Tribolium castaneum: one gene and its partner. The protein of the gene in region 2 binds, or shares a complex with, the protein of the main gene of each other region. Links are inferred from orthologs where the notes say so. Each region holds a gene or a part of one and is shown on either strand. Other genes may lie near its edges. The genes, in order: Hsp83 and unc-45.

Region 1 (4,486 bases), on a different chromosome or scaffold from region 2:
TTAACTGTTTGTATAGTAAGACACCGCGCGGGAGGCAACCGGGAATGCTGCACCCGTTAGACAAAGGCAGTACTCCGTTTCAGGTGGTGCATATCGACCATTTGGGCCCTTTTCCGTCAAGTAAAACAGGAAACAAATACGTATGCGCTATTATAGACGGCTTTAGTAAGTACACAGTATTAAAAGCGCTGCCGGATGTAGGAGCCGAGGGAACTCTTAGTTTTTTGAAAGAATTCGTTTCTAATTATGGAAAGCCCAATAAAATAATTAGCGACAGAGGTACAGCGTTCATTTCGAAGTTGTTCGAAAAATTTTGCGGTGATTGTGAAATCCAACACGTAAAAATTGCAACAGCAAGTCCTAGATCGAATGGACAAGTGGAGAAAGTAAACGACGTGATAATAACATGCTTAAGTACAAGTACGGATGACATAGAAGGTAGTGATTGGGACGAAAAATTAAGCGAAGTACAATGGGCTATTAATAATGCAACCCATTCGGTCACTAAAAGAACGCCTTTTAGTTTGGTCCGGACATACACGCGAGACGGGTTCACTAATAATCCGTTAGCAGCCGAAATACGCGATTTAAATACACGCTTAAATACGGAAGAAGAGCAAAATTTAGTTGCGGATCGGCTGAAAAGAAATGCGGATCGTATGTGCGCGAATTTTAATAAATCGCGGCGTCAGGCTAGGGTTTTCAAGCAAGGGGATTTGGTGTTGGTACGGGCTGAGGTACCGTCGACCGGCCAAAGTCGTAAATTGAGCCCTAAGTATCGAGGACCCTATGAGATTGTTAAATTTATAGGGAATGATAGATATTTAGTGCAAGATATAGAAGGCGAACAACAAAGTAGTCGCTTCTATAAAGGAATTATTTCTGTAGACAGATTAAAATTAGTTAGTAATTTAGAGGAGTAATAATTAAGATAAAGTAGGTTGTACAAGTGTTAAGGGTAATGTTAAATTTTTATCGGAATTTTATTATTAGAAAAATTTGGGGACATAAGTAGAGTGTTTAGTTTCGTTATTTTAAGTTATGGTAAGTGTCATTAGGGGAATGAGTGATTAGATGGTTGGGATGTGTTCTCGAGGACGAGAACATTGTCAGGAAAGGCCGAGTTGATATGAATTCGTAGAATTGTAAGGGATGCTTGGGAGGTCCGAATGGTTAGTGTGTGTGAGGGCTTTTAGGGCGAGTGTGAAAGATGGGAAACATGTGTTAAAGATGAATGCCGAATGTCTGGATTTTTAGAAAATAAGTTAGTCTGTAACTGGCTTTTGTAGAGTAAAGTAAAATTAAAAGGTCCTGTTGAGAAGATCGTAGTTTATTTACCCTATAATCCTGACGTAATAAATTATAAACTATAACACAAATAAAACGGATTTTTCTAGAAAAATCAATAACGGTATTGCAGATTTCGAATTTCGCGCCCGATTTAGCGGAAGCAACTCATGTTCTGTCCTTGTCTATGGAAGGTTTCGAAGCGTCGGAAAGCGTCTAGATTCTTCTCGAATAATCTAGAACGCAGAAGGCTATAAAAGCAACCGAACAAACACGAATCGCTCAGAGTTGAAAAAGCAAGCGCTAAGTGAAGAGCTAAGAAGCGACAAATTTTCCAAGTGATAATTTTCCCAAAGCAATTTTCAAGTGATTTGTTCGTGTGTGCATTAATTTAAGCAAGGTAGGTGCAAATTTTCCGATTTTCCGGCCGTTTTCAGTCAAGGTTATGTCACGCCGGTGTTTGACCCCCAAGTCTGGGAAATCGTACGTTTTTCGCTAGGCTGCGGTTATTTGAGACGAGTTTATTAATCCTTTGACTATTTTTTCGAATTTGAAGACCGTTTTAGAGTTTTCCCGTTTTTTGTGTGGTTTTCTGCCAAGGTTATTCAGAGCGGTCTTTGACATTGCTACGAAATTTAATCAAATTTTCCGGACTTTTCCACGTTGTTCGGTGTCCGATTAGTCATTTTTTAGTGATTCATGAGTTCGGTGAAATTTCAAGGTCGAATTTAATTGCAGATGCCGGAAGAAAACCAAAATGGAGATGTGGAAACCTTCGCCTTCCAGGCGGAAATCGCCCAGTTGATGAGTCTGATCATCAACACCTTCTACTCGAACAAGGAAATTTTCCTTCGGGAGTTGATTTCCAATTCGTCAGATGCGTTGGATAAAATCCGTTACGAGTCCTTGACCAACCCTTCCAGACTCGATTCAGGCAAAGAACTCTACATCAAGATCATCCCTAACAAGAATGACGGGACCTTGACCATTATTGACACCGGGATCGGGATGACTAAAGCCGATTTGGTCAATAACTTGGGCACCATCGCCAAGTCCGGCACCAAAGCCTTCATGGAGGCCCTCCAAGCTGGGGCTGACATCAGCATGATCGGTCAATTCGGTGTTGGTTTCTACTCGGCTTACTTGGTAGCAGACAAGGTCACAGTCGTTTCGAAGAATAACGATGATGAGCAATACGTTTGGGAGTCGTCAGCTGGTGGTAGCTTCACTGTAACACAAGACCGTGGCGAGCCTTTGGGCCGTGGCACCAAGATTGTCCTTCACATGAAAGAGGACCAAACCGAATTTTTGGAAGAACACAAAATTAAAGAAATTGTAAAGAAACACTCGCAGTTCATTGGCTATCCCATCAAATTGGTCGTGGAGAAGGAACGCGAGAAGGAGTTGAGCGACGATGAGGCCGAAGAAGAGAAGAAGGAGGAAGAAGGCGAAGACAAGGATAAAGATAAGCCAAAGATTGAGGATGTAGGCGAGGACGAAGATGAAGACACGAAGAAGGAAGATAAGAAAAAGAAGAAGACTATTAAGGAGAAATACACAGAAGATGAAGAATTGAACAAAACCAAGCCGATTTGGACAAGAAACGCTGACGATATCAGTCAGGAAGAATACGGAGAGTTTTACAAATCGTTGACTAATGATTGGGAGGACCATTTGGCCGTCAAACACTTTAGTGTTGAGGGTCAATTGGAGTTCCGTGCCCTCCTCTTTGTCCCACGTCGCGTTCCATTCGATCTTTTCGAAAATAAGAAGCGCAAGAATAATATTAAATTATACGTGAGGAGGGTTTTCATTATGGACAACTGCGAAGAACTCATCCCCGAATATTTGAACTTTATCAAGGGTGTCGTCGATTCGGAAGACTTGCCTTTGAACATTTCCCGTGAGATGTTGCAACAAAATAAGATCTTGAAGGTCATTCGTAAGAATTTGGTCAAGAAATGCCTAGAGTTGTTCGAGGAGTTGGCCGAGGATAAGGACGGCTACAAGAAATTCTACGAACAGTTCTCGAAGAATATTAAATTGGGTATTCATGAAGACTCGCAAAACCGGGCCAAATTGTCCGAATTGCTCCGTTATCACACTTCTGCAAGTGGCGATGAGGCTTGCTCTTTGAAGGACTACGTGAGCCGCATCAAGCCTAACCAGAAACACATTTATTACATTACTGGCGAAAGCAAGGAGCAAGTGGCGAATTCGTCGTTCGTTGAGAGGGTCAAGAAGCGCGGTTTCGAGGTCGTTTACATGACTGAGCCCATTGATGAATACGTCGTACAACAAATGAAAGAATTCGACGGCAAAACTCTCGTTTCGGTCACAAAGGAAGGTCTCGAATTGCCTGAAGACGAAGAAGAGAAGAAGAAGCGCGAAGAAGACAAAGCCAAATTTGAAGGACTTTGCAAGGTTATGAAGAGTATCCTCGATAATAAGGTTGAGAAGGTCGTGGTATCGAACCGTCTAGTCGAATCTCCCTGCTGTATTGTTACGTCGCAGTATGGCTGGACCGCCAACATGGAACGTATCATGAAAGCCCAAGCTTTGAGAGACACCTCCACTATGGGCTACATGGCGGCCAAGAAACACCTCGAAATCAACCCCGACCATTCAATCATCGAGAATTTGAGGCAGAAGGCTGAGGCTGATAAGAATGACAAGGCTGTTAAAGACTTGGTTATTCTTTTGTTTGAAACCGCTTTACTCAGCTCTGGGTTCACCTTGGATGAGCCTCAAGTCCACGCATCCAGGATCTACAGGATGATCAAGCTGGGTCTGGGTATTGATGAGGAGGAAGCCATGATCACCGAAGATGCACAAGGAGGCGATGCACCCTCTGCTGATGCCGCCGAGTCCGAGGACGCGTCGAGGATGGAGGAAGTTGATTAAGTGTTCGAATGTTAGGACATGTGTTCTAGTATGTTCTAATTGTCATTCCTAGTGTTTTTTTATATTTCTTAATTATTTTTATAAAAAATGAAGTATTATTTTGGCGGCCTACCGCCGCCGTGTTAACACCTGTAAAAGTCTGAGTTCGTTTTTTGTGAATAAAATTGATTTAATTAATTTCTTGGTTTTATTTGAACGCCTTTAACAAATAATTGTTGAAAAGCAAAAAATCCATCACAAATTGGGCTTGGCTTCGCAAAATCAAGTCACGTGACACATTTGACAGATGTTTGAG
Region 2 (4,334 bases):
ATCTTGAGGAAGAAAACATGGACTTATATAACTTCAGAAGAATATGAAAAAAGAGATGATAGCAAGGAATAATACAGAAAATATGGTCGAAGAAATGGGAATTAATATAGACTGTGCTATTACAACTATTAAAAGTATATTGAAGCAGAAACATATACGAATATTTCAAAGCAATTAAGAAGTGGAATAAGAACAAAAGACGCCCTGAAGATAATAGGATACTAAAAAGACTAAAACAATAAGAAACCAAAAACAAAAAATCTAACAAAAAAAAAGAAAAGGATGTGGAATCATCCTGAAAAAGCAATATAAAGCTAAAATTAAGGACAGCAATGTTCTTATTCTTATGTGTACTGCTGTAATAAAGAATGAAAGAAATAACTCTAAAGTTATTTGGATAAAAGGACAGTCCTCTAGAGTTTTTTTAACGTGCATGAAAAGGCTAAGAATTATAATTAATCAAACTGAAGAGTACAACAATAAAATTTCGAAATTTCGAATTTTTCACAAAGAAAAAAAAACCGCCTACTCTGATTATAAATTCAAATGATCGCATGATGCTTATGCAAATGGATAGTTTAAAAAATTTTCGAACTGTATTTACATTTTTACAGAAAAATGTAGAAATAGGAGATAATACAAAACAAAAGAAGAAGGCAAAAACTCATTTGAAAATCTAGAGAGAAGAAAAGAAGAAAATTGCCTGAATGAACAAATAGAATTAAACTTTATGAATATCTGAGAAAAATCACAAAAAATCGCCTATTTTAATATAAATTTAAATAATCGCATAGTACTTATGCACATGGGTAGTTTAAAAATGTATAGAACTGTATTTAAATATTTAAAGACATTTGAGAAAGATCTGGGAGAACATGATCTAGAGAAGCAGACAATAATACAATACAAAAGAAAAAGACGAAAAATTGTTTGAAAATTATAGAAAAAGAAGAAAATTACGTGAACGAATTAAACTTTGAACCAAATTTCCATTTTTCTTAGATTTATTTTTCTAAAAGGGGAACTGTTCAAACCTAACGCTTTATTAATATCTGAGAAAAATAATAATGATCGCATAGTACTTACGTATATTGATAATTTAAAAAATTATCGAACTGTATTTAAAATTTTAAAGACATTTAAAAGAGATCTGAGGGAAACAGGCAATGATACAATGCAAAAGAAAAAAAAACACCTTTGAAAATCTATAAAGAAAAGAAGAAAATCTTCTATGAACAAATAGAGATAAACTCTGAGCCAAATTTCCACTTTCTTCACATTTTTGTTTCTAAAATAAACCAAATGGCTAAAGAAGATTCGAAAACAAGTATTTTTATTTAATCTTCAAACGTAACGTTTTATTAATATCTGAGAAAAATCGCAAAGAAAAAAATCGCCTACTCTAATTATAAATTCAAATGATCGCATAATACTTATGTAGATGGATAATTAAAAAAATTATCGAACTGTATTTAAATTTTTAAAGACATTTGAGTAATATCTAAGGAAGTATCATGATCTAGAGGAACAGGCAATAACACAATACAAAAGAAAAAGATAAAAACTCATTTGAAAAAATCTATAAATAAGAAAGAAGAAAATTTTGTAAATGAACAAATAGAATTAAACTTTGAGCCAAATGTCCACTTTAGACCGAATGGCTAAAGAAGCCACGAAAACAAGTATTTTTATTCTATCTAAAAGGGAAATGTCCAAACGTAACCTTTAATTAATATCAGAAAAATGACAAAAAAGTGACTATTCTAAATATAAATTCAAATAATCGCATAGTACTTATGTAAATGGATAATTGAAAAAAATATCGAACTGTATTTAAATTTTTAAAGAGGTCTGTGAAACATCTGAGGGAACATGAACCAGAGAAGCGATAAAAACTATAATTTAGTAAAAATAAAGTAAAAAAGAAAATTATTTTTAAGCCGAATTTTAAAACAAACTGGCGAAAGGAGATACGAAAACAAGTATTTTTATTCAATTAAAAGTGAAACGATATATTTTAGACCCAACATTTTATTCGTACCTGAGAAAATATTGAGGATTTGTTGGATGCAATACTGCGCTGCGTTAACTTGCTGTTCATGATTCGAGTCCAAAATTTCCAAAAACCAGGGGATCCCCACATCCTTCATAACACTTCGTGTCTTATCCACATTATGCTTACAAAGCTCGCCGATAATTCGTATACCAGTAACACATATTTCCCGATTCTTCTCCACTTTAAGCAACTTCTTAATCTGCTGAACAACCGGCGATTTAATCATAAGACTCGACCCCGCATTTTCCCTCGCAAGCACCAACAAATTATTCATCGCAGTCTCGCGTTTCTCCCTATCGGCGGCCAAATCAAACGCCAACTTCGTCATACTCTCGATCTTAGTGCTGGTCTGGGCATTTTCCTTAACCCGTTCCTGGACAATACGATACAATCGCTCCAAAACCGGCTGAATCGTCCTATTATTGGGGTCATCCTTGAAAATCTGGGTGGCGTCCCGATAAGCCTCCTCAAACCGTTCCAGCGCCTCCAAGGCCTGGCACCGGCGGAACAGCGCCTTGGGGTCGCGGGGCACTATCTCCAGACTGCGGTCGCAGTCGCTCAACGCCTCCTCAAACTTGCCCAACTTCAAATAGGCCGCAGCCCGGTTTTTGAGGAACACGGACAAGTCCCGACTCTCGCTCGTCTCCAAGTTGATGGCTTTGGTGTAGAGTTTGGCCGCCGAGTCCCAATTGCCACTTTTGAAGGCCGCGTTGCCTTCTTCCTTGTATTTTAACGCTTCGGGTTCGCCCATTTTGGGGTTATGTGCACACTGTTTCACTTGAGGTTGTGACAGCGTGGCCACATGCCGTATTTATACGGTTTGAGTCGAAGTTTCTGGGCTTTTCGAGACGCGAGAGGAATTTTCTAAATTTAAAAGGCTATTTTTGGACATTTGCCAGGTTTGAGGTTAGGTTCAGAGGCGGTGCCATAAACTAATTTTAATGCAATAATCGCATCAATTATTAGTAATTAGACAATTAAGGCGCTCACGCACGACTTGGTCACAGTTTTGGCACGGTTTACGCGCCCACAACTCCAAAATCTTGCTTTTTGGGGCACAAAATTACAGGTTTCTGTCCTGTCAAACTGTCAAAGTCTGACGTTACTTGTCAAAATTTGGCAAATAATTGTTTTGGTTTGAAATTGGCTGAGTAAAGCGTGACAGAATGGTAAATTTCGGTGTTGTTGCTAGTATTGCGTGCTATTTGTGTTGGCAAGTTTCAGTTTGGGTTCAACATGTTCCCGGAGATCCCGAGACCGTTCAACATGATCTACCAGTGCCACTCGGTTGCCATGCTGCCGGGGAACGAGCGCCAGGACGTGGAACGCGGGGGCAAAAGTGAGCACGTCTAGTGGCTTGTTGCGCGATTCCAGGCCCTTTGTTCCAGTAATCATGCCGCCTTCGGCCCTGGAACAGCTGACTCGTTTGAACATCAACTACCCGATGTTGTTCAAGCTCACGAACAAGAAGACCAACCGGGTGACCCACTGCGGGGTGCTGGAGTTCGTGGCCGACGAGGGTAAGGTGTACCTGCCGCTCTGGATGATGCAGAACATGGTCCTGGAGGAGGGCGATTTGGTGCGAATCGAGAGCGTTTCGCTCCCAGTGGGGACCTTCTCCAAGTTCCAGCCGCTCTCCCCTGATTTCCTCGACATCACGAACCCCAAGGCCGTGCTTGAGAACTGCTTGCGCTCGTTCGCTTGTCTCACAACCGGAGATGTGATTGCGGTTAAATACAACCAGAAGATTTACGAATTGTGCGTCCTTGAGACGAAACCAGGCAACGCGATCAGTATAATTGAGTGCGATATGAACGTGGAGTTTGCGCCCCCGGTGGGCTACAAAGAGCCGGAGAAGGTCAAGAAGGAGGATGAGGAGATGGCCGTGGATCCGGCTGATCTGATGCCGGAGCCGACCGGATTTGTGCCCTTCAAAGGCACGGGAAATCGATTAGATGGCAAGAAACGGAAGGATTCCGGGACCAGTGACGTCGTCAATTGTAGGGCGGCGTATGTGAGGGGGATCCCCAATTATGATTACGAAATCGGGACGTTGAGGTTCATCAGGCGGAGCACCAAGCCAGAGAAGGAGGATGAAGCCAGTAATGAGTTTAGGGCGTTTAGTGGGACGGGGTTCAGCATGAAACAATGATTATTTATTTTTAGTTTATAATTTTTTTTTGTATATTTAAGAATGAAATAAATTGTTATTAAACATTAAAGTGTTGTTTTTTCCCATTTATCAATAACCAAAAGTCGAAAAAAATAGCTGTGACCC

Evidence for each region.
Region 1: the proteins of unc-45 (region 2) and Hsp83 are in contact, whole or in part, in a crystal structure (PDB 4I2Z), measured with the Caenorhabditis elegans proteins. The link is inferred for Tribolium castaneum from reciprocal best matches to the Caenorhabditis elegans genes unc-45 and hsp-90. Residues at the interface, in NP_497205.1 of Caenorhabditis elegans: Arg12, Asn16, Val19, Tyr31, Val48, Arg51, Asn52, Met55, Lys59, Val81, Lys82, Phe85, Arg86, Asn113, Asp114, Ile117; in NP_506626.1 of Caenorhabditis elegans: Ser696, Arg697, Met698, Glu699, Glu700, Val701, Asp702.

Annotation. Positions count from the first base shown.
Region 1 is NC_087398.1:3,475,606-3,480,091, reverse strand, and holds Hsp83 (heat shock protein 90), read left to right. Parts: upstream 1-1,579; 5' UTR 1,580-1,687; intron 1,688-2,025; coding exon 2,026-4,191; 3' UTR 4,192-4,368; downstream 4,369-4,486. UniProt on the Caenorhabditis elegans protein: Molecular chaperone that promotes the maturation, structural maintenance and proper regulation of specific target proteins involved for instance in cell cycle control and signal transduction. Undergoes a functional cycle that is linked to its ATPase activity.
Region 2 is NC_087401.1:16,175,040-16,179,373, reverse strand, and holds the start of unc-45 (protein unc-45 homolog B), read right to left. Parts: upstream 2,808-4,334; coding exon 2,042-2,807; intron 1-2,041. Other genes in the region: Ufd1 (ubiquitin recognition factor in ER-associated degradation protein 1), read left to right, coding at 3,275-3,395, 3,445-4,208.